Elephas maximus indicus: one gene and its partners. The protein of the gene in region 1 purifies or fractionates together with the protein of each later gene. This does not show direct contact. Links are inferred from orthologs where the notes say so. Each region holds a gene or a part of one and is shown in the gene's direction. Other genes may lie near its edges.

Evidence for each region.
Region 2: the proteins of WDR48 (region 1) and PPP1R9B purify together in Homo sapiens (affinity purification with mass spectrometry; 3 studies listed by BioGRID and IntAct, with this or other methods). This does not show direct contact. The link is inferred for Elephas maximus indicus from reciprocal best matches to the Homo sapiens genes WDR48 and PPP1R9B.
Region 3: the proteins of WDR48 (region 1) and ATAD5 purify together in Homo sapiens (affinity purification with western blotting; 3 studies listed by BioGRID). This does not show direct contact. The link is inferred for Elephas maximus indicus from reciprocal best matches to the Homo sapiens genes WDR48 and ATAD5.
Region 4: the proteins of WDR48 (region 1) and PHLPP2 purify together in Homo sapiens (affinity purification with mass spectrometry; 5 studies listed by BioGRID and IntAct, with this or other methods). This does not show direct contact. The link is inferred for Elephas maximus indicus from reciprocal best matches to the Homo sapiens genes WDR48 and PHLPP2.

Annotation. Positions count from the first base shown.
Region 1 is NC_064845.1:1,148,765-1,155,668, reverse strand, and holds the start of WDR48 (WD repeat-containing protein 48), read left to right. Parts: upstream 1-3,897; 5' UTR 3,898-3,942; coding exon of another isoform or gene 3,943-3,990; intron 3,991-6,904. UniProt on the Homo sapiens protein: Regulator of deubiquitinating complexes, which acts as a strong activator of USP1, USP12 and USP46. Enhances the USP1-mediated deubiquitination of FANCD2; USP1 being almost inactive by itself.
Region 2 is NC_064837.1:43,471,314-43,478,317, forward strand, and holds the start of PPP1R9B (neurabin-2), read left to right. Parts: upstream 1-4,002; 5' UTR 4,003-4,496; coding exon 4,497-5,882; intron 5,883-7,004. UniProt on the Homo sapiens protein: Seems to act as a scaffold protein in multiple signaling pathways. Modulates excitatory synaptic transmission and dendritic spine morphology. Binds to actin filaments (F-actin) and shows cross-linking activity. Binds along the sides of the F-actin.
Region 3 is NC_064837.1:26,696,697-26,703,822, forward strand, and holds the start of ATAD5 (ATPase family AAA domain-containing protein 5), read left to right. Parts: upstream 1-4,117; 5' UTR 4,118-4,136; coding exon 4,137-4,202; intron 4,203-6,847; coding exon 6,848-7,126. UniProt on the Homo sapiens protein: Has an important role in DNA replication and in maintaining genome integrity during replication stress.
Region 4 is NC_064839.1:38,713,115-38,720,813, forward strand, and holds the start of PHLPP2 (PH domain leucine-rich repeat-containing protein phosphatase 2), read left to right. Parts: upstream 1-4,684; 5' UTR 4,685-4,739; coding exon 4,740-4,838; intron 4,839-7,699. UniProt on the Homo sapiens protein: Protein phosphatase involved in regulation of Akt and PKC signaling.

The DNA of each region.
Region 1 (6,904 bases):
CATTTTTGACAATTTCCAATTTTCCTAGATTCATACTTCGTACATTCCAGGTTCTGATTATTAATGAATGTTTGCAGCTGTTTCTTCTCATTTTGAGTCTTGCCACATCAGCATATGAAGGTCCCGAAAGCTTTATTCCATCCACGTCATTAAGGCTGACTCTACTTTGAGGAGGCAGCTCTTCCCCAGTCATCTTTTGAGTGCCTTCCAACCTGGGGGGCTCATCTTCCAGCACTGTATCAGACAATGTTCTGCTGCTATTCATAAGGTTTTCACTGGCTAATGGTTTTCAGAAGTAGACTGCCAGGTCCTTCTTCGTAGTGTCTTAAGCTGGAAGCTCAGCTGAAACCTGTCCTCCACGAGTGACCCTGCTAGTATCTGAATACCAGGGGCATAACTTCCAGTGTCACAGCAACACACAAGCCCCCACAGTATGACAAACTGACAGACACGTGGGTGATAGAGCACATAATCAGACCAAAGAATCGCATGGGCAAGAGTCCATTGCATTACTTCTTTCACCGTAGAGTGAATTTCTCGGTCAGATGCAATATATCAGATATTATGACAGTGTATAAATCATTTAGTAAACACCCAGATGGCGATACAGAGCCCAATAAATAGAAAATGTTGTCATTTTAACATGTAATCAATATAAAGATTATCGACATGTTACATTCTTATTTTTATACTAAGTCTTCAACATTCAGGAGTATTTTACAGTTACAGCACATCTCAGTGTTAAGTAGATGTATTTCAGGTGCTGCTAGAAGTACAGGGAGCATGGGAAGGAAATCAAAATCTAGCGTAAGCGTCACTCAGAGCGGACAGATAGCTACTTCCTCAACAATGATAGAGGGCCAATGGAAAAATCTAGAGTTAAGTGTCACCTGGAGAGGACAGATAGCTACTTCCTCAATGATGAGGGAGGGCCAATGGAATCAACTTGCCCCCCGAGTGGCTGGCTCACCCTTCAAGGCTATGGGGTAAACCAGCAACTCGGGACTGGTCACTGCTGTTGGCAACTTGAACACTCAGCAATGGCTTGATGATCCCATGCATAGCTTTCAGTCCTGATAGCATCGCCATTTTGTTCATGATTCCACTGAGTAAGCACTGATCCTGAAGGAAGCCAAGTTTCATCCTCAGAGCAGTTTGTTTCATCTGTACAGCTCTTAAGGTTCATTCTAAGAGGCCAGTTACCATATACTTTCCCAAGTCTTCCTTGTCACCAGTTTGTCATGCTTGTTCTTCCGTGTCCTTGAACAGCTGGCCAAATGATTTAGCCTCTGTCCATGAATTGACTGTGAATTACTACCCAAGGCCATCTCTCCTTCCAGGCAAAGTGAACATCAAGATACACTCCTGGACATTCTGCCCATTAAAACAATTTTACAACTTCAGTGTTCTTCAGGGCCAGCCCCAAGGGGCGGGGCGGGGGGGCTACAACAACACAGGAATCCATTTCCAACAGGTACCAGCACGTTGTGGAGAGTAATGTACCTGCACAGTGCCTGGCATATCATGGCTACTCAATACATTTTTATTAAGAAAAAAAAATGCAGATCATGTCCCTCCCCTCTTAAGTCCTTTCAACAGCTTCCCATTGGCTTAGAAGACCCTGCTGGGTGTGGTCTCTGTGCTCCTCTTTGATCTGCCCAGCAACCACAGAGTGAAGGCCTGGCAATCTACTCCATAAAATTACAGCCATTGAAAACCCTACCGAGAGCAGTTCTACTCTGACACACATGGGGTCACTGTAAGTTTGAATCAACTCCAAGTAGTAAGGGTTTGGGTGTTTTTGTTTTTTCCCCTTGGTTGCTCTCTGTACTCCAAGACTTGGCCTTTAGTTCTTGAAATGTTCCATGCTCCCTTCTGCCACAAGATCTTTGCTCAGACTGTTCCCTCTCCTTGTCTAGTGAACTACAGCCTTTAGATCCTGGCTCAAGGATCCCTTCCTGCTGTACAGCTCTTTCTTCAGTACTTATCTCCACATTCATTTATACGTTTGTTTAATTAATCCCTGTCTCACCATGGAACTCTAAGTCCTATGGCTAATGTGCACTCACCACTGAACCCCCAGCACCAAATACAGGGCTGGGCACTTAATAGATGCTAATAAATGTTTTGAATGTATACATGGATAAATGAATCAATGAGTCTGTAATAAAATGCAGTCCATGTAATTTATCTACAAGTTATCACCGCCAATTTTGCCTAACAGGCTTTCTGTCATCAGTTTCTGCTCCTCTAATTCAGATTTCTTTACCGATTTTTTAAAAAGGCATTTGCCAGGAGGTTCCCTAAGCATTATTTATACATTAGCACTATGCAATAGAGAAGAAGTCCTGGTGGCACAGTGATTAAGCATTTGACTGTTTACTGAAAAGTCAGCAGTTCAAAGCCACCAGCAGCTCCAGGGACCATAAAGACTACAGCCTTAAAAACCCTATGGGCACTTCTACCCTGTTCTTGAACAACTGGCCAATTTAGCCTCTGAACCTGAACTGACCATGAAGGCCGTCTCGCCTTCCAGGCAAAGTAAACATTAAGACATGCTGCCTGATGGGGTCACTTAGTCCAATATTACAGCCTTGGAAACCTCATAGGGCAGTTCTACCCTGTCTATAGAGCCACTATGAGAACAGACTCAATGGCAACAGGTTCTGCAACAAAAATATAACATGAGCCACGTGTTATTTTAAACACTCTAGTCAAAAAATTAAAAAAAAAACACCGCCATTCAGTCAATTCCGACTCATAGCGACCCAATAGTCACATTTACAAATGTAAAAAATTTTAGTAACACATGCTATTTAACCCAATATATAGAAATTAATATTTCAACACGTGATCAATATAAAAAATTATGAAAGAGGTATTTCACATTCTTCTTTTGCATTGTCTTCAAAATTGAGTGTGTACTTGAGTTACATCACGTCTCAGTGAGCTGGCCACACGCGCCTGGCGGAGCCCGCACGGAACTCAGTGGACGGAGCAGTTCCACGGGGTCCACTTTCCGAGAGAGAGCTCCGCCACCCTCGGCACCTGTCATCGGTGTCCGGAAGACCTGAAGCTACACTTTGACCCAGAAGAGGTGACCGGGACGAGGTTCCAGAGCCGGCCCCGGCTCCCTCGGGCTCTGCAGACGTCCCTGGGGCGCCTTTTCTCTCCTTTGTGGGACGGGACGCCTGTTCGCCTGAAGACCGGCCTGCCTCCTTCCCAAGGGCGGCCGCTTCTCTCCTCCCAGGCCAGGTCGTTGTTCTGCGAACGTCTAGGTGCCTCCTTCGCGGCCAAGCAGTCGGCTCCCTGGCTGCCGAGGAGTCTCGCCCCCTACCTGGCCTCAGCGCTCTGCCCGAGGACCGCCCCAGGGAGCGTGCAAGCCGGGGTGTGGGGCCCCACGGCGGAATGCGCTTGCTGCCTCGGCTCGGAGAAGCGGGTGGTCCTCCGCCGGCGCTGTGCCCACAGGAAGGCTCTGCTTCCACGAGACCGCCGCGCGCCCCGAGCCCGGCCACGGCGCGGAGCCGCCGCCGCCGCCTCACGCACGGCCGCCGCCGCCTCACGCACGGCCGCCGCCGCCGCCGCCGCCGCACGCACGGCCGCCGCCGCCGCACGCACGGCCGCCGCCGCCGCACGCACGGCCGCCGCCGCCGCACGCACGGCCGCCGCCGCCGCACGCACGGCCGCCGCCGCCGCACGCACGGCCGCCGCCGCCGCACGCACGGCCGCCGCCGCCGCACGCACGGCCGCCGCCGCCGCACGCACGGCCGCCGCCGCCGCGCGCCCTTCCGCCGCCGCCTCACGCACAGCCGCCGCCGCACGCACGGCCGCCGCCGCCGCACGCACAGCCGCCGCCACCAACCCCCGCCCGAGGGGAAGGGGCAGGACATCCGCTCGGCCCGCGCCATTTCCGGAAGTGACGTCGGAGTGTCAACATGCAAGATGGCGGCCCATCACCGGCAGAACACGGCCGGGCGGCGGAAAGTGCAGGTATGGGAGCCCGGGTCCTCGGCCTCTCGGACCCGACTGCCCGGCCCGGGGCCGCCTCCCGCCAGCAGATGCCTCAGGCCGCGGCCGGCGGGGAGCGGGGCGGGGCGCGCGGGCCCGGGCGAGCGGCGGTGAGAGGTGGGGCCGCGGCGCTAACGGCTTGAGGAAGGGGCGGGGGCGGCGCGGACGCAGACTCGGGGCCCCCGGGGCGCGCGCCCTGGAACCCGGGGCGGCCGGTCGCCCCTTCTCCCGGAGGATCGGGCCCGCGAGGCGGTGGGCGCGTCCCCTGGCCAGCCGCCTCCCCTGCCCTGCCTTCCCCGAGGCGCTCTGGCCGAGGCCTGCGGGGCTTCCCGGTGGGCGGGCGGGCGGCGAGCGCGGGGACCCGGCGGGGCGTGACGGGCGGCGGGGCGCCGACGACCCCGGCTTCCGCGGTGGGGTCCGCACGGGGAGCCCCGCCACCTCTGCTGCCGGAGCTCGCTTCCCAGTGAGGGGCAGCGGCCGGCCGGGTGTTGGTGGGGAAATGCCGGTTTAATTTCGTTTTCAGCGTTTCTTCATCTTCATCGTACATCCCTGAATCTTTCTTTTCTATTTTTATGATTTATTATCCAAGGTGAAAGAATTATCTAATCATTCTGCGTATGCTTTATGCCTTCGTGAATTCGTTTTTATTTTGGGTAAGCGTAAGAGTTCTTGCTATTTTTTCCAGCAATGCAGGGAATAATAGAAGACCTATTTCAGGTGTTTGCCTGCAGGTATAGTGTATGCAGTAGTGGCGACATGGTACGTTAACTATTTGTCCAGCACTTAATTTGAATTCAGAAGTATGCAAAGGTTTGAGAAAATGTAGGAGTAAGACCCAGGCTTTCTTGACAAAACCCACCATGATATGTCGTTCTGCAGGTTGAAATCAGTGGGTGTTTAATAGTCAGGACAAAAGGTGCCTGCAGTAAGGTAACCCCAGGAAAAGGGTGTGAGGCATAAAGTTTTCTGAGGCAGTTCCACTCTTTGTTTTATTGATCTCTTTGATCAGGACGGTGTCTAAAGTACTCATTGGATATTTGTTGAATTGAGTGAAATTACTAAGAATCTAAATCCCCTGAAATCACGGTGTAAGGTGATCGTAGGTGGTGACACTGTCTCCTCCCAACTAAAATGTAACCCAGAATTGTAACTTAATTGTGTTGCAACTGGACAGCCTGAAGTCGTGGTATGTAATTGACCAGATGATTTTTCCCAGGGAATCTAGGTGGTTAAGTATTTAGGCAACACTAATCAAGAGAAGGAAACCCTGGTGGCGTAGTGGTTAAGTGCTATGGCTGCTAACCAAAGGGCTGGCAATTCAAATCTGCCAGGCACTCCTTGGAAACTCTATGGGGCAATTCTACTTTGTCCTATAGGGTCGCTATGAGTCGGAATCGACTCGATGGCACTGGGTTTGGTTTGGGTTTGGAATGGAGAGAAAGGCTTGACGACTGGAGGAACCAATAGATGGTGGTGCTCTTCCAGATACTGGAATGGTACACTCCATAGGGGAGTAAGGGTTGTTAAAGAGGCCTCTTAGTGCCCTTCGTTTAGATGTAGGAGGCAACTGTGAAAGTCAAGATGTGAAAGACTTAAGTTAACTGCCGTACAGGTGGAAAACTGTTTTAATCCCAGTGTGAGCCCACACAGGTAGAATGAGGGAGGTGATAGTTCCAGACTGCTTGTCAGAGTACAGACCTAGCGTTTGGGGCTGAGAATTGAGCACCTTGTTCTCAATAAGTATAGTAACCAGATTGGTGAACTGACTTGAAACTAAGATTAGCCTGCAGAAGAGAAGATTCGGGGGCCTTGTCAGCTGCTTTCAGAGCTTGTCCACAATGTATAAAAGCAGTGTGAGAAGCCACAGAGATTGATATTTTATCTCTACCTGAGAGAGAATTTTTGTTTGTTCTGAGAAGTGTTTTTAAAACTAGTGCACGTGCATTGCAAGAAACCTACAAATAATAAAAAAGGTATAAACGATAGCTGCCCTCCACTCAAAGAAAGCTACCATGAGTAATGCGATATATGATTCTAAACTAGGATTTCTCAGCATGAGTATTACTGACATCTTGGGCCGGATCCTTTTTTGTAGTGGGAAACTGTCCTGTACGTTGTAGGATATTTACCATCATCCTTGGCCTCTGCGCAATGCTAGTAGCACCCCCACACTTGGGACAACCAAAAATGTCTCCAGACATTTTCAGATGTCCCCTGGCAGTCCAAATTACCCTGATTGAGAATCACTGTTCTTTACCTCTTTGTGTACCTGACATACAGGATTTTTCACTATAAATGGAGCCATCGTGCCTGCTATTCTGCGTCAGAGTTATAAATGTACGTTACCATTGCCCAGTAATTTCTCTTCTGAAAACCTCTTCTGCAGAGATACATGTGTGTATACCTTTCTCTACTTGTGCAAGGGTGTTTATTGTAGGAATCTTATCAGTGTGAGAAAGTGAAAAAAATTTAAGTGTCCATCAGTGGAGAATTGACAGATTATGGTAACATGTCAAGACACAGCTGTTGAAGAGATAAGCTAGGTATGTACCTATTAAGAAGGAAAGGTGCCCAGAAGTCAAAAAAGCAAGTCAGTATAGTACGAACCCATTTCCACAAAGGAAATACTGCATTTTAAAAGCCTGGAAGGATACTGACTGTCAGTTACCACTGGGGGATTGGATTGTGTGATTACGGGTAGGACAGGAAACGGAGTCTCTGTGTGGTGCAGAAGGTTTAGTACTGGGCTACTAAGGAAGGTTGGCAGTTAGAACCCCCCCGGGGCACCTTGGAAGAATGTCCTGGTGGTCTACTTCTGAAAGGTCACAGCCACTGAAAATCCTACAGAAAGTGATTCCGCCCTAAAACACCTGGAATCGTCTCAGTGGCAGCCGAT
Region 2 (7,004 bases), on another chromosome or scaffold:
ACTAAGACATTCACATTTGAGCTTTGTCAGGAAACTGAGGCATACCAAAAAGCCAAACCCTTTGCCATCAAGTCCTACTCATAGTGACCCTATAGGACAGACTAGAACTGCCCCATAGGGTTTCCAAGAAGCGCCTGGTGGGTTTGAACTGCTAACCTTTGGATTAGCAGCTGAACTCTTAACCACTACACCACCAGGGCTTCCGAACTGAGGCCTCGGGAGGAGAAGTGACTTGCCCAAGGTCACCCAGCTAATGGGTGGAGCAAGCACTCAAGGCAGGCCCTATGAGTCTCACAACTTTCCTCTTCTCCACTGGCTAAGTCACTTCCTTCTCCAGGTCTGTCTTCCTCATTACCCTGTGAAGAGAGTCAGTCAAAGGCCACTAAAGGCATCCTGGATTTGAGTTCTCCTGCATGTGAGTGTGTACTCACATGAACGCCTTTCTGGCATCTTAAGCTGATGCCCAGATCCCTGGCAGGGGAAGATGGATGGACGAAAGCCGTTGGGGCAGGGACCACTGATCACCACAGCACTGCCAAAGTGCAGGGCCTGGGCTCGCTTCTGCTCAGATGATCCCAGCCATAGAAATGCCACTTTCAGAGGCTGTCTCAAAGCTCCAGGGCTAGGAAGAAAAGCCAACCTTGGCACCCAGCCTGGGCCTGAGCCCTGGGTGCTGAGGGCTTGGAGCTTATCACAAATCAGGCCCCTCACTGCCTTTATCACCCGCCTCTGCAGTCACACCTGGTGTTTGAAACTAGCAAGCCTCCAGGCAGAGCACTAAAGGGACCCTCCCAGAGGGCCTCTATCAGGCCGGGGCAGGGGCGGGGGTGGGGCGTGGAAAAATAGGGAGGGGCTTTACTGGAGGAGGGCTGGGGGCAGTTCTTTGCCTATAGGAAGACTCAGGCTTTTTTGGCAAGGGCTGGTGGCACAGGCAGGCAGCCCTGGCGGCTGCAAGCAGTTTGAGCTGACTACTAACCTAAAGGTTGGTGGTCAGAACCCAACCAGTGGCTCGGGGCCAGTGCGGGGGCGGGGGGGTGGCGGGGAGCAAGGTGATCTTACTTCTGTAAAATTACAGCCAAGAAAATGCTATGAAGTAGTTATACTCTAACACATGGGGTGGCCATGAGTCGGAACTGACTCCACGGCACCAAGTTTGGTGGCACAGGTACCTCCTTCCCCACCCACCTTACCTGTCCACGTCACACAACAAGTAAGTGCTGGAGTCAGGATTTCAACCCTGGCAGTCTGGCTCCTGGGTCAGTCTTGGGTCTCACTCTGCCATCTGTCTGTGGGAAAAGGTAAGAAAGAACTTTCACCCAAACAGAGAAGACCACCAGGCAGCTTAGCCCTCAAGGCCTCCTCCATAAAGGACAATGTAAAGAGAAAGGACGGTTTAATTATCCTGGGGTGCTAAACTGGAGGAAATAGGTGAGGACTGCAGCATGAGAAATGAAAATTAGGTCTAAACCCTTCAGTTTGGATGGAAATCCTCCCAAATGAAGTTCCCCTCCCAGGAGATGAGATTACTGCCCCAGGCAGGTAGGGAGGAGATGGGGGAAGGTGACACCCCATTCTCCACCTATCTCACAGGCCAGCCAGTTTGGTGTCTGACCCTGGGAAAGCGTTTAGCATCGCTCAGAAAAGCTTCTTGGGGAATTCTGGCTGGGGGTGTTGCTAAACTATGAAATAATCATCCTACTCCTTTGCCTCAGTCACCCAAGCTCTGGGCCAGCTCCACCCTCTTGCATCCCAAAGCATTTAAAGGGGTTTCATCCTTGGAAGCCTCAGGATCCAGGCTTCCCAGTACTTCCAATTCATTCCAAGCTGTTGCTGGAAATGTGTTTTTTGTTGTTGTTGGTGGGGGGCGGGGGCCCAGAGTCTCTGGGCTTGTCTCTGAGAACCTTGGCAACTCCTCCCTCCCTCTGAAGGGCCAGGGGTGGGGTGGGGGGGGAGGGTGGTTGCTTCTCCACCTGGCCAGAGGCATGGGCACAGACCCCTTGGGCTGGGAACAGTTACCATGACTCACCACAAAGGGTGTGGTAGATTCTGGGCAGAACACCCAGGGGCCTGTGCCCTCCTCCAACTCACTCGAGAGCTTCTGAGGACACTCTGCCCAACCCCCCAAATCCCAACTGGTTGAGATCTCTCTCCTCCCCCAACTTCCAGAGCGGGTTTGAAGGGCCATGGGAGGGGGTTTCCAGCCCCAACCTTGAGGTTGGAAACCTAAGTCCCAAAGCTTGTTCCTATAAGAGGTCTTCTAAAAAGGGTTAAAAAGGAAGGGAGCCTGAGAGCTTCTTCACCCTGCCTATCCCGAAGTGCAAAATTGGGGAGGGGGCAGTTTCCTGGGCAGCCGAGCAAAGAAGAGGCAGATGACAATGGTAAGCCCGGGTTCATTTCCGGCTCTCCAGCTCAGAACCCAAGTCTTCCCTCCCCTTAGCACCAGCCTCAGGATCCAGCCCTGTGGTTCCTGGCCCCTCCCCATCCCAATATCCAGAGTTCCCAGGCGGCTTCCCGCACCCCACCCCCAATCCTGTACTGAGCTCCTTTGCACGTGCTAACGGGTTAATATCCCACAAAACCCACACACGCCCCTTCAGTGGTGGGGTGCTAAGAGTCCCTTCGCCAACCCTTCCAGACCAGGGGACAGAGAGTGGAAGATTGGGACGGGGAGGAAGAGGACGAAGAGGAAGAGGGCGGGGGAGAAGGCAAAGGCCGCAGGAAAGCCTGAGATGCAGGAAGCAGCTGGGGGGGCGGGAGGCTTTGTGCCTGAGTTGTTCTCTGGGTCCTAGGGTCCACTCCGTTCAGTCGTCTCTGGGATCTGGAGCAAAGCCGAGGCTCTGGGGTCTTGGTTTGGAGTGTACCTCTTCGCACACCTCCGTCCCCCGCCCGGGCAGCTGGGGAGGGGTGCAGGGCAGCCCTGGCCCCCTGTTGTGTGAGTGTTAGGGCGGGAGAGGGGTGTGGGCTGCGAGGGAACATCAAAATAGTTTTCTGGGTTGCCAGGACAGGGCATGTGTAGGTCATTGTGACCTCGTTGCCCCCCCCCCACCCCCACATGCACATAGTGGCCAGGACCCTCTAGATAAGAGACCCAAGTTAGAATTCTCGCTGGGTAAACCTTGGCCACAGGCCTCTAGAATTCCTCCTCCTCATCTCCCCCTTCCTGCTTGAGAGGCGAGTGCTCCTGTAGGGGTAGGAGGAAGGGGTTTGCGACCCCTCCGTTCCAGCCTGGGGTGCAGACAGGCTACCGGGACACCCTCTACAAACTTCCGAATGGCAAAGGGTAGCTTTCGGGATTTCCTGCCCTTCGGGTGATGGGGACCACCTTCTTTCTCCATTCCTTCTCCTCCTCCCTCCTAAGGCCAGCAACACTGTACCAAGGTTTCAGACATTACGGAGTGCCTAAGATTCCCCAGGAGGAAAAGTGGTAAAATGCAGAATCCCGGGCCGCTCTCTGAGCTTCTGATTCACAAAGTTTGAGGGAGGGCCCAGAATCTGTGTTTTTACCAAGCCCCAGTGATTTTGATAATGACAGCTTTGAACAACACTAGCGAGCCTTAAGGACCTGGAAGAAAATGATCCTTTGCCCCTTCCTACCTATCCCCCTTCACGTTGGGGTGGAGAGGGGCCCCACTAAAACCACTGTGGTTGGTCTGCCCTACCCCCAATATTTAATGGGGGTGCGGTTATGTGGGTTGTGATAAACCGCAGCCAGAGGCTGGGATGGAAGGGTCGCAGAGGATTGAGCAAGGCCTGAGGGCAGCGGAAGGCTTTCGGCGAGGGACCGGCAGGGGAGGGGATTTATTTGGGTGTAGGGGAAGGGGTGGGCTCACAGACTCTGGCCCCGGAAATCCGATCCCTCTAGGACCCAGAGGTGCCAGTCCCCCAGCGGCGGCGGCGAGAAGGGCAGCCGCTCGGTCTCCGGCAGCCGCCGCTCGGGCACAGCGAGAGAAAGACCGGAGCTCGGGGCGCGGGGGGGAGGGAGGGAGGGAGGGAGGCGCGGCGGCGGAGCGGCCCCGGCCGGCGGAGCAGCCATGGGCGCCGGGGTGCCCGGCCCCCGGAGAGCCGAGGCCCCCGGCAGGGGTGGGGGACGCCCGGGCTGCCAGCCCCGCTGACACCGCCTCGGAGGATGTGAGCCGGCGCCGCCGCCGCTGCTGCTTGGACAGGGCGCGCCGTCCCACCGGCCTGGCCGCCGCTTTTCTATTTTAGGTGGGGGCGACCGTACCAGGCCGCTTGGGCTTTTTAAGAGGGTCTGACTGTCTTTGGCAGCTTGATTTGGGAAGGCTACCCACACAGGACGCCCGGGGATTTTTTCCTTTTTTTTTTTTTTTCCTTAAACAGGGTTAACTGTTTTTGGCAGCTTGGTTTTTGGGGGAGCCTAGAAAAGGCCTCTCAGGGTTTCTTTTCGGGGGGAGGGGGACAGTGGTCCCGACTTGGCCACCCGCCTGTTGGCGGGGGAGAACGGGGAGCAGGGGGATGCGAACCCGGCTCCCCCCACCATGATGAAGACAGAGCCGCGGGGGCCCGGGGGTCCCCTCCGGAGCGCCTCCCCGCACCGTAGCGCCTACGAGGCGGGCATCCAGGCGCTGAAGCCGCCCGACGCGCCCGGGCCGGACGAGGCACCTAAGGCAGCCCACCACAAGAAATATGGCTCCAACGTCCACCGCATCAAAAGTATGTTCCTGCAGATGGGCACGACGGCCGGGCCGCCGGGCGAGGCGGGCGGCGGCGCGGGCCCGACCGAGGCCCCGCGGGCGCCCGAGCGCGGCGTTCGCCTGTCGCTGCCGCGGGCCAGCAGCCTGAACGAGAACGTGGACCACAGCGCCCTGCTCAAGCTGGGCACCAGCGTGTCGGAGCGCGTGAGCCGCTTCGACTCTAAGCCCGCGCCCTCGGCGCAGCCGGCGCCGCCGCCGCATCCGCCCTCCCGGCTGCAGGAGACGCGGAAGCTGTTCGAACGGAGCGTCCCCGCGGCCGCGGGCGGCGACAAGGAGGCCGCGGCGCGGCGGCTGCTGAGGCAGGAGCGCGCCGGCCTGCAGGATCGGAAGCTGGACGTAGTGGTGCGCTTCAACGGCAGTACCGAGGCGCTGGACAAGCTGGACGCCGACGCTGTGTCGCCGACGGTCAGCCAGCTCAGCGCCGTCTTTGAGAAGGCCGACCTGAGGACCGGCCTCCACCGTGGGCCCGGGCCCCCCAGGGCCGCGGCCGCCGGGGCTCCGCAGGTCAACTCGAAGCTGGTCAGTAAGCGTTCCCGGGTGTTCCAGCCACCGCCGCCACCGCCCGCCCCGTCGGGGGATGCCCCGGCCGAGAAGGAGCGCGGCCCCGGAGGGCAGCAGCCCCCGCAACACCGAGTCGCCCCCGCCCGGCCGCCCCCCAAGCCCCGGGAGGTGCGCAAGATTAAGCCGGTGGAGGTGGAGGAGAGCGGGGAGTCGGAGGCCGAGGCGGCGCCCGGGGAAGTGATCCAGGCCGAGGTGACGGTCCATGCGGCCCTGGAGAATGGGAGCACCGTGGCAACCACAGCCAGCCCCGCGCCCGAGGAGCAGAAGGCCCAAGCGGCCCCCGACGAGGCGCCGGCGTCGGCGGCTGTGGCTGTGGCTGTGACAGATAAGGGGGTCGGCAATGGCCGGGCCCCAGACTTGGCCCCTGAGGAGGCGGATGAGTCCAAGAAGGAGGACTTCTCCGAAGCCGACTTGGTGGACGTGAGCGCTTACAGCGGGCTTGGGGAGGACTCTGGGGGCAGTGCCCTGGAGGAAGAGGACGAAGAGGACGAGGAGGATGGGGAGCCCCCCTACGAGCCCGAGTCGGGATGTGTGGAGATCCCGGGGCTCTCGGAGGAAGAGGACCCGGCCCCGAGCCGGAAGATCCATTTCAGCACGGCGCCCATCCAAGTGAGTGAGCGCCCCCAACCCCCGGCCACCCCTGCGCCGCCCCTGCCACGTGCGCGCCGACGCCCCCACCCGGCCGGCCTGGTTTGGCAGGCTGAGTCAGCCCCTGCCACCCAGCCCCCTTCCCAGAAGTTGCCACCCTGAGGGGGGCGTGGGGGAGTTCCAGCTGTTTGTCAGAGGGGGATGATTTCCAGGCCTGGGAAGGGGGTGGCCTGCCCCGACCTGCCCTCAGGTGCCCCACCCGTCCTGCCCTATGCGGGTGCTGAGACACCTGCTTTGCCTTTTCTCCCAGACCTTCCTTCCTCCAGGGGCTGGGGCTGGGGCTGCCAGGGGCAGAGGCTTGGCTGGTGGAAAGGCATACGTGTGTCCTCAGGAGAACCCTCCCCCCCCCCCCCCCCGCATTTGTCCTACCCTACTCTGGGCGCGAGGGGGCCGGGGGAGCTTGGAAACACTCCTTCGTTTCCCCCACAGACAGGAGCTGGATAGGGTGAGGGGGGCTGAACAGAGGCAGGAGAGAGAAGGAAGGGGAGCTGGGAACTTCCCAGAACGAATGAAGGGGCAGGACACTGCAGCCCTTCCTCCATCGTGCCTGTAGCCCCCACCCCAACTTTGCAGAAGTGAAAGGGGGAAGCAGGTCTGTCAGGGTGCACTGAACTGGGACCGTGTGACTGGGGGTGGGGGAAAGGCTTAGGCTGGGACTCAGTCACCTGGGGGTCAGTGCTATTTCAAGCTACCAAGGTCCAGTTCCACAGGGAGGGGCACTTTGTGTGACCTGCTAAAGGGACTAGGCCATCTCTAGGGTGTGAAAGAGGAGGAGGTGGGGAAGAGGATGGGGTGGGGAGTCCCATACAGGTCTGAGGGCACCCAGCAGTGGCTGGCATGCCTTTGGTCATGGCTTCTCAACAGGACAAACTCCCCTGGCCTTGGCTAAGGCAGGCCTTGAGTGTTCTTGCCACATTCCCTGGGTGTCCTGAAGGAGGGGTTGAGCTGCCTGCCCCTTTTGAGCTCCTGTTGGCTCCCAGCACCACTATTGGTGATTGGTTTGTGGGCTGTGCCAGTGCTTGGAGATCTTCAGAACAGCACCAAGGGGGAGGAGTGTGTGCAACATTCCCTGGGGAGAACTAA
Region 3 (7,126 bases), on another chromosome or scaffold:
TGTTCTAAGTATATTATAAACTCTAAATGACTATAGAAACATGACAATTCATTTAATTTAAAATTAATAAATGCCAGGAGCTCCTAATTAAGGGTTATGTAAAATAATAACCACATTTATAAAAATAAACTCAGTATAAATGCTTCATAATTCAGAAGAATAAAAAGTGCCAGAGATCCAAGGCACAGTTGCTTTCTATTTGCACGGAGCAACAGAGGAAGAAGGAGAGTCAGGAATAGAAGGAGGAAATGGATGTGTGGCTAACTGCCTCAATGAACAACTGCCATCTCTGCCATGAAACCAGAAGAACTGGATGGTGCCTGGTTACCATTACTAAACATCTTGATCAAAGGTTCTTTAGAAGATTCCTGATCAAGAGGAGGGAAATGTAGAACAGAATTTCAAATTCTCATGGAATCCATACTTTCTGGAGCCACGGAGGCTGGATGAATCCCTGAAACTATTGTCCTGAGATAATCTTTGAAACATAAACCGAAACCAAAACTAGCCCCTAAAAACCAAACAGAAGTTTACCTTAAATAATAAAGAATGTCTGCTTGAGCGTTGTGCTCTTTTCAGATCTAGCTATATGGGATCAAATTGACAACAGCAATTGGAAAGGTCAGATAGGAAGATTAGGGGGCAATGAGTTTGTGTTAATGGGGGAAGAAAAACTCAGAAAAGGAGGATGAGAGCGGTTGCACAGCTGAAAGAATGTAATCAACGTCACTGAATTGTACATATAGAAACTGTTGAGTAAGTGTATGTTTTGCTATGAATATTCTCAAAGAACCAAAAATAAAATAAATTATTAAAAAAAAAAGCACTAGAGACATACCTTGTTGTTGTTGTTAGGTGCCATCGAGTTCGTTCTGACTCATAGCAACCCTATGCACAACAGAACAAAACACTGCCCCATCCTGAGCCATCCTTATAATTGTTGTTATGCTTGAGCTCATTGTTGCAGCCACTGTGTCAATCCACCTCGTTGAGGGTCTTCCTGTTTTCTGCTGACCCTGTACTCTGCCAAGCATGACGTCATTCTCCAGGGACTGATCCCTCCTGACAACATGTCCAAAGTATGGAAGACACAGTCTCGCCATCCTTGCCTCTAATGAGCATTCTGGTTGTACTTCTTCCAAGACAGATTTGTTCATTCTTTTGGCAGTCCTTGATATATTCGATATTCTTTGCCAACACCACAATTCAAAGGCGTCAACTCTTCTTCAGTCTTCCTTATTCACTGTCCAGCTTTCACATGCATATGATGCAATTGAAAATACCATGGGTTGGGTCAGGCGCACCTTAGTCTTCAGGGTGACATCTTTGCTCTTCAACACTTTACAGAGGTCCTTTGCAGCAGATTTGCCCAATGCAATGTGTCTTTTGATTTCTTGACTGCTGCTTCCATGGCTGTTGACTGTAGATCCAAGTAAAATGAAATCCCTGACAACTTCAATCTTTTCTCCGTTTATCATGATGTTGCTCATTGGTCCAGTTGTGAGGATTTTTGTTTTCTTTATGTTGAGGTGCAATCCATACTGAAGGCTGTGGTCTTTGATCTTCATTAGTAAGTGCTTCAAGTCCTCTTCACTTTCAGCAAGGAAGATTGTGTCATCTGCATAACGCAGGTTGTTAATGAGGCTTCCTCCAATCCTGATGCCCCATTCTTCTTCATATAGTCCAGTTTCTTGTATTATTTGCTCAGCATACAGATCGAATAGGTATGGTGAAAGAATACAGCCCTGATGCACACCTTGCCTGACTTTAAACCAATCAGTATCTCCTTGTTCTGTCCAAACAACTGCCTCTTGATCTCTGTAAAGGTTCCTCATGAGCACAATTAAGTGTTCTGGAATTCCCATTCCCATACTTTATACCCCACCAACTTCACTTCTAGATGTCTATCCTAGAGAATCATTACACGTACTCAAGGAGACATGGGCAAGAATGTTTGAATAACAGAAAACTGGACACAACCTAAATATTCATCACTAAGGAAACAGATAAAATGTAGTGTATAATTGGATGGCATACTTACGAATGAAAGGAGATGAATTAGATCTACATGCATCATAGATAGCTCTCAAACAATGGTGTGTGAAAAAAACAAATTGCCGAGGAATATTTACAGTGATACTATTTATATAAATAAAAACCATGCTAAAGATTTCCTATGGATACCTGTACGTAAGTATTAAAAAAAATATTACATTGCTACATACCAAATAGCTAGGAGTGATTACCTCTGGGGAGGAGATCGAGTTGGGGAGTGCAAGTCAAAAGAGATTTATAGTTTGCTCTGTAATTTTTTTGTGTGTCTTCTTTTTCTTCCTCTTCCACATTTTCTCCTTCTTCTCCTCCTCCTTTTTCAGGGCAATGTATCTATACTACGTGAGTTATTAGAAAAAAAAACAACAACAAAACGGTATATTCTCAGAAGACTGAAAGTAGTACAATCTTCCCCTCCTGACAAACCTTATTTGGTACTAATATTCAAGGGAAAAGTAATTCTTACTAATTTTATTGGGGAAAATGCATATGTGCTTATAAGTAGGAACTCTGGTGGTGCAGTGGTTAAGCATCTGGATGCTAGCCAAAAGGATGGTAGTTTGAATCGACCAGCTGCTCTTCGGAAACACTGTGGGGCAATACTACTCCATCCTATAGGGTCACTATGAGTCGGAATTGAGTAGAGGGCAACAAGTTTGTTTTCTTTGTTTGTAGCTCACCGCTGTGGAGTGGATTTCAATTCACAGCCACCCTACAAGACAGAGTAGAATCGCCCCCATAGGGTTTCCAAGGTTGTAAATCTTTACAGAAACAGAGTGCTACATCTTTCTCCTGCTGAGCAACTGGTGGGCTCAGCCACCAGGGTTCCTAACTCACTCTAAGACAGCACCAAAAACCATAAAGATGGGTACAATTACTTCAGTATTTAAAATCACTTTGCATAACCCGATCTAACAAGGTGGCTTCCCATTATTAGTTAAGTCCCTTTACCTGCTTTGTATCCGCTCTTACTTATTTTGCAGTTAAAACTATCCTCTCAAAAGAAATAAACATACACTAACCCAACCCAGTGCCCTCGAGTCCATTCCGACTCATAGCGACCCATAGGACGGAGTAGAACATACACTATGTGTAGGCACTTCAACATTAACATAACAGAAAAGTAAAGGCTAAACAAGTCCATGAAAACAATGCAAATGACGCACTAGGTTACCATCACTACAAACCAGCAAACTACTGGTACCTGCGAGCACTGAACACACGTCAACCAGTTGAGGCGGTGAGCTCGGGCTCCTGGACTGCTCACGAGGACGAAATCCACAGAAAGAAACGCCTCTTCAAATTAGGGGTATAAAGTCGAAATGTCGGGCCCAGAATAGTATATCTGATGTGGGACGCATACCAAAATATTAACATTTTATCTGAGTAGTAGGAATATAATCAATTTTTTTTTTCTGTAATTTTCAAATTTCCAATTTAAAGAAGGGGCTAGTCCGGGTCAAGAGTTCAGGGTTTTAATTCTGCCACCAACTGACTAGGTACCTTCGTTCAACCACATTCTCATCTGAAGCCGGGCTACTGGACACCAGAAGGAAGAATTTGCACACTCCCCACTGGCTTTACATTCCGTGATACAATGACCCTGCCTCCCGCCGACTCGCCGACGACAGTGTTTTGGCCCATTCAGCTCACCGTCCGCGCAGGCTTCCAGAGCAACCCTAAGCTCCGCCCCCTCCGCTCAGGACGGCGCGAAAACCCAATCGACGAGAACTTCTTGGGAAGCCCTCCGGTCCGGTCTGCGTTCGGTCTGCTTTCCCTGCCCCGGCTCCGGTCCCGAGCACTCGGCCTGGGTCGTCCGCCCGGAGGGGTCACCCCGCGCCTACCGGCCGCGCCCCGAGTGCCTCGCCGCCCGCGCTTTCTCAGCGCTCCTTCCCGCGTTCGACTTGGCTGAGCTGGGCCCGGCCTCCGAGCCCGCTCCGGGCCGGTGGGCGCAGGGGAATCCGAGACGGACCCCGCGGCCCAACTTCGCGCTCCTCCAGGAGCGGGCCGCCTCCATGGCCGAGACGCTGGCCGACCCGGTCCGCGCAAGGTCCTAGGAGCAGGGGCACCGGGAAGCGGCGAACATGGTAGGGGTCCTTGCCATGGCGGCGGCGGCTGCTCCCCCTCCAGTCAAGGACTACGAGATTGAGGTGAGATCGAGTGTCTGTCGAGTTCTCCGGCTGTTGGAAAACGGGTGGTGGTAATCCCGACTTTGCATCTCAGAGGGGAAAGGAGGAACACGGAGAGGCCCCCCAGGAATGACATCGTGTGGAACAGTTGCTGGAGTGTGTCGTTCTTAGAGTCGTGATGAATTCCGACAAACCCTGGTATTGTGAGATGTTTAGAGAATTGCAGTAAGTTAGGACTTAAGATACCATGGCCAGTGCCCAGATTCTGAAATATTGGTGGACTGTGATGTTTTGGACTTGTGAGATGTCACGGAGGATCCCATGGTCAGGTTCTGGGTTCATGATATGGAATCCTAGAATTTGAGTTGAAAAAGAGCTTTAAGTCCACCTATTTTATCCTCCCTGTTCTGGGAATGCCACTTACAGTGTCACTGCCAGAATCAAGCAGGGTAAATCTATTACCCATGGCTCTAGATCTTAATATACTGCAGTTGGAAGACCCAGTGTGCCGTGCTGATGTTTGTTCGTCAAGTTTCAGTGAAATACTCTAAGCATTCTTTATAAACCAAACCTGTTGCCGTCTAGTCGATCCCAACTCATAGTGACCCTATAGGACAGAGTAGAACTGCCCCATAGGGTTTCCAAGAAGCCGCTGGTGAATTCCAACTGCCGACCTTTTGATTAGCAGCCTAGCTCTTAACCAATGCAGCACCAGAGCTCCAAGCATATTTTGAAAGAAGATTCTAATACCAGAAAGTAGCAGGCCAGCATTTTAAGACAGACATTACATCTTTACAACTTTTCATCTCGTGTTAGCATTCAAACTGAAGTATGTGCTCTGGTGTCTTGAATGAACCCAGATGTACACTCATTTAAGGGGGATACTTGTTTGCTAGGTCAAGGCAGTTACTCAGATTATCTAGGTATGAAGAAGGTCTTCTGATACTTGAATTACACAGTTCTTGGCTTTTTGTGTGGTCACTTTTATCAGTCTTCGGGTTATGGTTTCTGCTCTTGGTGGCCTGCTTAGAGAGCCTATTTCGTAATAGTGATATTCACTGTTAAGTATGGTAAAGGGAAAGGCTTTATAAACATTATTTTGCTTAACGTCAACCCTGTAATGAAATATTATTATTTCTATTCTACAGATGAGAGAAGAAGATTTAAAAGTTTAGTTTGTTTAAGGTCTCACATTAGAAGATGTCAGAGCCAGCACTCAAACTTAGATCTGCCTGACTCCAGAGCATATAGTATAGTGCCTCTTATACCATCTCAGGGTTATGTAAATACTCATCAGTATTTTCTTCTAAAATGTTTATGATTTCTTTTTAACATATACAGATTTAATCCCTCCGTAATTTATTTTGCCTCGTATTTATCCAAATGGTTAGAAGTTGTCTCAATACCATTTATTAAATACTCCTTCTTTTGTCACTACTTTATTTTCTAAGTTCTTAAATATATACTTGTGTCTATTTCAGGTGTTCTAATCAATTCCATTGACCTGCCTACCTATTCCTGCTCCAGCACTACACTTTAAATCATGATAGCTTTATATAATTTTAATTTTCTAGAAGCCTAACTCCTCTATTCATTACTTACCTTTTAAAGGATTTCGTTGTTATTTTATTAAATTTATTCTAACTAATGAACTGAGGGAAGTTAAAATTAAAAAAAAAGAAAGACTGATGGTGCTTTTTGTAACCAATAAGGTAATATTTATTTTCTATTATGTAAATTACTGACTTATAACCAATAAAAATTTAAACATGCCTAGCATTATAGTCATCTTGATATTGTAAAGGTAATAACTAACGTAAAAGAAAGGCAGCAACGGTTTTAACAGCAAATTAAAACACTAGACTTGTAAGTGTTCTTTTGGTGAACTTGCACTGTAATTTCTACTTGATTAGTAAATTTTGGGATCCTAGGCTTGATGACTATGTCCCTGTTTCTTAGCAATAGTTAGGGTAATGTGCTTATTTTTAACTAAAAATAATAAAAAGGGAATATAATATGTGTAGAGTTCCTACCATCGTCAGACTACATATTTTTGTGTAATGTGTTCAGTACAATTTTTAAGGTGGAAGGTGCTATCTAAAGTTTATAGAGTAAACAGAGACTGAGAAGAATTAGGAATTTGCTCATAAGTATAGTAGGCTTGGATTTTTTTTAATGTGAACAATTTTTTAATGTAAACAAATATATATAAGGAGTCCCTGGGCAGTGCAAATGGCCAAGCGCTTGACTACTAACTGAAAGATTGGAGTTTCGAACCCACCCAGAGGCAGCTTGAAAGAGAGGCCTGGCGATCTGCTTCCAAAATGTCATAGCCTTGGAAACTCTATAGAGCACACTTCCACTGTGCAACACATGAAGTCTTCGTGAGTCAGAATCAACTTGATGGTATCTTGCTTGGTTTTTTGTTTATAATTATATATATACAGTAAAGCACACAAGTTTTAAGGTAAATCATTGGGACATTGAGATTTCAATATAGATTTAATTTTAAAGTTCATATTCTTTCCAGTATATCATGCTCGTCACATAAAGGAGCCTTCCTTTCTTTATCCGATTACTTTAAATATTAGATCCGTGTCTTAAATTTATATTTTGTATTATTTTTCTTGAAATAAGTGCCTCTTTTCCTTCTTTTAAATCTACAGCCATGCAAAAAGCGAAGGAAAGATGATGATGGATCTTCCTTTAAAACAATTACGAAATATTTATCACCAATAGAGAAGACTGGAGTTAGAGTTTTCTCTCCACCAAAATCCAATAATATTCTGGATTATTTTAGAAAAACTTCACCTACAAATGAGAGGACTCAATCAACGAAAGAGTGTAAGATAAAGTCATCTGCACCATTGCCTGTGGACAGTGGCAAAGATTATAAAACGCCTTTGGAACCGTTCTCAAATGTACAGTTTAAGAAGAGAGGAAAG
Region 4 (7,699 bases), on another chromosome or scaffold:
ATGAGTTTGGGAGTGGGGAGAATCACTGATGAGAGAATTGCTCAGAAAGTCCTGAAGTTTAAAACGCTTTTGACCAGCTTTGGCTTGGGAAGGTGGGGCTGCTCCTAGAACTGGATGTGAATAACTCTTTGCAAGCAATAGCAGTAAGTAGGTTCCATCTACAGGTTCCAGGATGTGGAACACAAACAGAAAAAAAATGCTGAAGCAGCTTGCACAGCTGCTTCACAAACTTCTGCAAGGCCAATCCTGGCTTCAAGATGGAGCATTCGAGGTTTATTTTTGCTTGTTTCTTGTTCTTTTTTTTTTTTTTTTTAAGAGCCTTCTGTTGAGCTGTGTGCGTGTGTGTGTGTGTGTGTGTGTGTGTGTGTGTTTCTTTTCTATTTGGGGGCCTCATGGGAAGGAGCTTCTGAGTTCTTCCTTCTGAACTCTCACTATGTTCCCTTTAAGTTCCTTTTCTTTTATGATGTTGTAAGTTACATTGAGCCCCATCACATCTTCTTTACTGTAAAAATATTAAAAGGCTGTTTCCAAGTGGGACGGCTAACGAAGTTCTAATTATTGCAGACATATTTTTGAGATGTAAAAAAAAATTTAAATGATAAGTCTTGGAGGCGAGTGAGGAATAAAATGGATGTAAACATTTACATGGGATGCATTAGAATTCTGCTGTGTGTATTGTCTTTTGGTTGAAACAAATTATGAACAGTGACTAATAATAAAAAGTCAATACTCAATGATTTAAAATCTGCTTCCTTCTTCAAGTAAGTTAGAAGCCTTGGGTGAATTCTTATTCCAGAGCTTTGAGCTAAACTTAGTGACCTGGTACTGTTTCTTTTATAATCAGAAATCTCACCAGGAGAGGAATTTGAACAATTTTAAAACTACTAGGTATTAGTAATGAAAAAGTCTTAAGTTCAGTTGGAAATTTCAACCATAACATGATTAATTACATGCTCATCTTCTCCACATATGTGAATTCTCAAGGCAAAAAAAAAAAAAAGGTGAAATGTGTATTAGGGGTGGTCATGGGTTTTAATCGTATGTTTCTATTTGTGAATTATTCAGGTTTATTTGTGACCAGGAAGAGGAGGGCCGGATCAGCCAAAATGAGTTTTTATTTTATGGTCTATTTTATATGAACTCTTTTCTGTAGAAGTGAGAGTGGTTGGAGGTTGGAAGCTTCAGATTTTCTATTACTCTGATGAGTCTATTATTCTGATTCCCTTGATTGGGAAGGGGAAGGGCGTAGGCCTTGGCAATTACCTAGTTTGTGCAGAAGTGCCCTTTGGAACTATTTGATAAGCAATATTTCTATAGTCTTTCCTTTTATATGGTTTAAATTCATCCTTGTTTTTAATATTAAACTTAATACCTTCATCTACATGTAATTAGATGAAAATACAAAAGCTACAGTAGAAAAGCCTAGCCAGTAATGGACTCCAGAAATTTACTCAGCAATGCAATGAACAATATTTAGATTTGAACCTCAGCCCTGAAAAGCCGAATTCATTTCTATTCCATAGTTTTCCACAGTTCAGTTGTCCCTATTTTTGAAAAATACAGAAATGTTCATAGGGTAAATTTTCTTCAAACCCTGAAGCCAGGTAAACGCTGCCTGTTTGTCTGAACTAAAATAAGACTAAATTTGTTCAACCTGTGGTAGAATAAGGAATTCAGGCAAAAGTTGACGTTGTGATCATAAAAAGAGTGGGAGCTAGATACAGCTAAGTGATTGTAGTATCATATGGCTTCTCTACCAGAATCTGATAGACAAGAAAGACAAGAACTTTCTTTTTCCAGATTTTCTTCCCATTTTGCAGTGAAGATTAGGAAAAGCTCTGGGGTGGGTAGGTGTGTGTGTGTGTGTGTGTGTGTGTGTGTGTGTGTCCTGAGATGATGAGAGCGCACAGCTGCTGCAGGAAGGACACAGAGCAGGGAGGACTTCTAATGACTGCTCTGCTTCTTGGCTTGATCCAAACTGATTTTTGTAATGATGAACCTGCAGTGAGGGCAGATGGATTTTTGCACAAAAAAATCCCAGATGAATTTATTTTTAGGGTTAGTCTCAGCTGTTCACCATTTCCAGAAATTGTAGTTACATAACCCTTGGCAGTCATAATGCACACTGCCTTGAACTGAAAGACACATGAATATGTGACCTTAGCAGCAAAGTATGAAATGTTAATGGTAATATATGACTTGAAAAGAAAACTCTATATCAACTGGTTGTCACTACTGAACTGGAAATCTGGATCTTAAATCATGGGGACCTTTAAAGGGAGCGGCATTATATACATCATCCCCTGAAACATCCTGCTGGTGGCCTTTTTTTTTTTTTTCTTTTGGAAGAGGTATTACTCTGAATTAATCCTTTAGCCCACTATCCCGTCAATGAGAAAACAAGTCAAAGCAAAAAAACCCAACCATTTACCAGTGCTATTCCCCAGCAGGAATTCAAATTCTGGTCCTGGGACAAGATCTTTTCCCTTCAGGTGATCAAACAATAAAGAATTTGTGCCCATGAGATGTGGAAAAGGTAATATGTAACAATATCTCCAGAAACAGGCTTTTAGAAACATTTATTCTGAACACATTTTTATTCTAACTGCTGCCTTTGCCCCTTGGTCAGATTACTTCTGTGTCTATACTGGTGCCTATTCCTTATACACCAGTATTCTTGCCGGAAGAATTAAGCACTAAGAGGGGTATGTGACTAGTCTGAGTAGCTTTCTTGAAAGCAAGTTAACAGTAGACAGGGGTGGGTGGTGGTGGTGGTGGTGGTGAGCCAGCAAGTCAACAATACAAGAACTTTCTTCGCTTTTCACCAGGCTCTCAGAGATGAATTTTAATTAATTAAAATGAGACAAAACAAATGAAGCTTAATGGTGATTTGAATTTTGGTATATTCAAAATGAAGAGAAATTAGTCACCATCCTTTTACAGAAGTAATAATTGGTACAGGGTCAGAGTCTTTGCAAGAGCCAAATTTTGTTTTGGAATTTAAAATATCTCCAAATATCACATAGTAGAGAAGGAAACAATGCACTGTTAGATTTCAGCCTTTCTTGTATTAGGCTTAAAATTAAAATATTTTAGATGGTTGGCCTGAACTAGGCAAGGTGAAGCAACGGATAATAGGTAATGCCATCTTTGCCATGTATTCAAAGTTCAAGACATTATTGGTTTTCTGCTGTTAAATTCCTTACAAGTTCTTTGAAGATTCATGGATACCTGTGTAAGAGGGGAAGGTCTAAATATCTAAGAAGTCCAGAAGGCATCCTAGGAAAAAATTTTTTTTTATAATTTATTTTTGTTCTTGAGAATATACACAACAAAGCATACACCAACAGTTTCTACATGTATAATTCAGTGACATTGATAGCATTCTTCAAGTTGTGCAACCATTCTCACCCTCCTTTTCTGAGTTGTTCCTCTGTTAACATAAACTCACTGCCCCATAAGGCTCCTATCTAAACTTTCAAGTTGTTGTTTCAATTTGATCCCATATAAAGAGGTCTTAAAAGAGCATAATGCTCAAGGCATTCTTTACTAGTTAAGCTAAACTATTGTTTTAAGAAGATTCCAGGGAATATTTTTGGCTTAAAGATTATCTTAGGACAATGGTTTTGGGGGTTTATCCAGCCTCCATGGCTCCAGAAAGTCTGGATTCTGTGAGACATCCTAGAAAAATTTAAGAGGAACAAGAAGAGTGCTTTTTGAAAAATCTAGTGAATCTTAAATTTGGAAATTCAGAATTAGAATGGCTACTATAAATTTCGATTTCGACTCATAGCTGGGGTCTGGGTTTTTTACTATAAATTTCGACTATATGTTTAGTGCTTTGTAAGCATTATTCATTAAGTCGTCATAATAACTATCAAGCAGATATTCATCTGTATTTCACAGCTTAAGAACCAGAAACTTAGATCAAGTAACTTACACAAGGGTATAGCTCAAATAAGTGATAGAGCTGAGATTTGAAATCAGGCTGATTCCACATTTGGCCCATTGGTCACAAAACTATCATCACTGTAGGAACTAAAACAAAACGATAACTTTTAAAGATTTTCCGACTTAGCATTGTAAATAATCAATGGCTCACAGACTGTATTACTCTTTGAGGGAGAGAACAGACTTCTGGTAATTTTGCTACAAGAGGAGGAAAGGGAATTTAGATATTGCTGGAAGATGAGTGAACACATTATTTTGGGTCGAATTTGCTGACGAAGGTCGTAAGCCATCTCCAGTAAGGAAGAGAAAGGGCCTCGTTAAGGTATTTTCAACAGTTCTTCCAAGGGCTTTGCAAGTGAGGGTGACAGGCCGGTTTTAAACTAGAAAGGAAACGTTTTAGAGAGCTAACTTACAGGAGCCACCCTCGGCGGACTGCAGCGTCCAGTGACAACTGACAGGTGCAGGCACTAAGGAGGCGGGGATAGCTGTAAATAGCCCTTCCTGCGCCTCAGTCCTCCAAACCCAGCGCGGCCCGCTGCAGAGGCTCAACCCTGCGGCGGCGCCGTACTCCGCCCGCCGAGCCCTCGGCCGGCGGCTCCGCCACACCGGGGCCACCCGGGGCCCGCAGCTACGCAGGTCCGGCGGGGCTGCGGGAGGGGGCGGGACCAGGGGCGGGGTCAGGGCGGGACCGCGGCTCACGGGGGCGGGGCCTCCGCTGCTCGCGCGCGCCGCTGAGGCCCGGCGCGCCGTCGGCCCCGCCGGGCGTCCCTGTGTGGTCTCTGCTGCTGATGGGGGAGGTGGAGCCGGCGCCCGCGGGCCCGCTGGAGCCCCTGGAGCCGCCCGAAGCGCCCGTGAGCCGCTGGCCGGGAGGAATTCGGGTCCTGAAGGTGAGGCGGGCGAGCCGAGGGGGGAGTGAGGGAAGGAGGAGGCCGCCCCCGCCCGGCGCGAAGGCCGAGGCAGCTGGCCACCCCCGCCCGCGGCAGTCAGTCAGCTTGGCGGTCGGCCGCCCCTCAGCCGGCCGCGGCCACAGTGGTCCCCGCCGAGGCCTCCGCGCGGCGCCCGCGCCCGCGCCCGCGCCCCCGCCCCCGCCCGCGCCCGCGCCCGCGCCCCCGCCCAGGCCTCGGCCGCCTCGGTCCTCGGCGCTGCCCATCCCTGGCCCCGCGCCACCCGCCTCGCAGGCCCCCGCCTCGCAGGCCCCCGCCTCCGCTGGCTGTCTGCTGGGCCGCCGTCGCCCACCGGCCTCTGTGGGGCCCCGGGCCGGCCCTGCCTCCCTCGGCCGCCTCGCCGCTGGCCCGAGCGCGGGGCTGGAAGCACGCAGGGCTCTCTCCCCAGACACCTGAAGACATCACCCCAGCGGGAGGATGGCGGCGATGATTGGCCGCGCGCTGCGGTGTGCTCGGGGCTGCGCGGGGCGGAGCGGGTAGACTCTGCCCTCGGGGTTCACAAGTGAAGTTGCCACCCGGCTCCTCGCTCTGTAGACGTCGGCGAGGAAGTACGACCCGCCTCGTCTGGGGAGGAAACCTACGGAGGAGCTTAATTAGGGGGAATCGCTGGGCGTGCTGCGGGAGGAAGGAGGGGCTGGACCTAAAGGGGGCATTCCTGATTGCAGGAGTGGGGCTAGCGATCCGGGGAGACTGTGATGGGGGAGCAGTTATGCAACAGGCAGCAAGCGGGGCTTTTTGGCAGGAATTAGGGGAGTAGGAGGAAATGAAAGCAGATGCAGGCAAGTGGAGCCTTGGAGGTGATGACAAGAAGTTTAAGTGCATATGGAATGTAGGGTGGGGAGGGGCAGTGAAGATGCTTAGAAGGAGGGATTGTGTAGGCTCAGGGGAGTCTTCTACTAGCCTTTGAAATAGTTGGAGAGAAACTTTCTGTATGTCAAATAAGTCAATTAGATGTCCTTCTGGAGGTGGAATGGAATTCATTCTGGAGTTCTAGAAGAGAAGTCGATAGGATTTGAAACTTGCCAGGGAGAAGGAAGAGAGAAAAGAAAATTTACAAGATTTGTTGTGTCAAAAATACCTTGCAAAAGAATTAAAGTATACAATGTTAAAAATGCATTAAGTCATAGTAGTTAATTGGGATTGAGTTTGAGCAGTATGCACTTGTTATTAACATTATTAGTAGGCCATCGCAAAGATGGATTAGAAGGATCTAATGAATCCATGAAACAACATAAACTAGAACTCTGTAAAATATTTAAAAAAGAAAAAAATTCTGCCACTACCTCTCACTCTTAATGCAGGGACTTAAAGTAATAACCTTTCATAGATTATCTCCAATTTTTGCATGACCCTTCTATATATTTATTATAATTTATATAACCATAGGTTGTAAATGTAATTACCCAGAGGTTTTTGGATATTTATTTAAAACTGAAATCACAAAAATGTAAATTGTGAATTAACTCTATTAAAAAATGTTTTTTAACTTCACTCGGCTTATCGGGAAATTGCAGGTCTGAGAGATAGGCAATGCCTTCTGGCCTAGAAGGTAAACACCCTTGCTTTTTTTTTTTTTAATAACTTTTTTGGGGGGTGGGGGATGGGGTGAGTTGTGAGAGGGAAGGAACTGAGAAATGAGAACCTTTATTGAAGACAGTCTAACCCTTCTTCCCTGAGATTCCAATCAGGGGACCATTAGAAAGATTCCAGAAACTGATGGTAATTACAATACTGAGATGGTGTGGGAGGCAGAGTCTTTAAGACCTTTGCATCCTTACTTTATTACATATAAAAAGACCAAACCCCTTGCTGTCAAGTCAATTCTGACTCATAGCAACTCCATAGGACAGAGTGGAACTGCCCGATAGAGTTTCTAAGGCAGTATGTGATCTTTAAGGAAGCAGATTGCCACATCTTTCTCCTGCAGCTGACCTTTTGGTTAGCAGCCGAGCCTTAACCACTGTACCACCAGGGCTCATTTATTGCATATAGTCAACAGTTTAAATAATCCTTGCAAATAATTGGCCCCTTATGGAGGATAGGTGGTATATGTTCTACAACAAAATTTCCCTTCAGTAACCAAGTGGTTGAATTTTGTGCCTAGTGAAACTGGAAAAGAATATTTAAGTAGAAGACTTCTAATTGGGAAGAAAGTCATAATTTCCCACATGTTCACTAAGGACCCTTTGAAAACAGCTTTTCAGTCTGTTTTGTAACTTTTTTACATTTAACAGATCGTGAACATCATTATTGTCAAATTATATATGTAGATCTTCATAAAAAGGCGAATATAACTAAAGTCAGACTATATCTAGGTGCATCTATGTGGGGTATAGGAAAATTTGATTCACAGTCTGTCCCCAGATTTCATTTAGAAAATTGCTATTTAGAATGTATTCTTTTACAGTTATAGTTGGAGTATAAGTATGATATTTTTAATACTCTTAAAAATATTAAGAGTACCTTTGAATTTTTAAAATATTCCAGATGTTTCCTATGATTTTAGGATTATGTTTTATTTAATTTACTCAGTCTATAGAAGCTGTGAAGTTACAACTGATTACTGGTAGTCAGTAAATGCCCTGAAATTTGTTTTTTCAATAATTTAAATTTTTTGTAAGAATAAGTGTGCGTGGTTTTAAAAAATCAATACCAAAAAGATTTTAAGTACTGAAATATTGTTCTCTCCCCATCCCAGCCAACTCTTCTTAGCCCATTCCAAAATATTCTTTAACATGTATATTCCCAGAGATGAACCCATCTTGTTTTAAAAGTTTCAAATGGAGGAACATATCTCTTCCCTT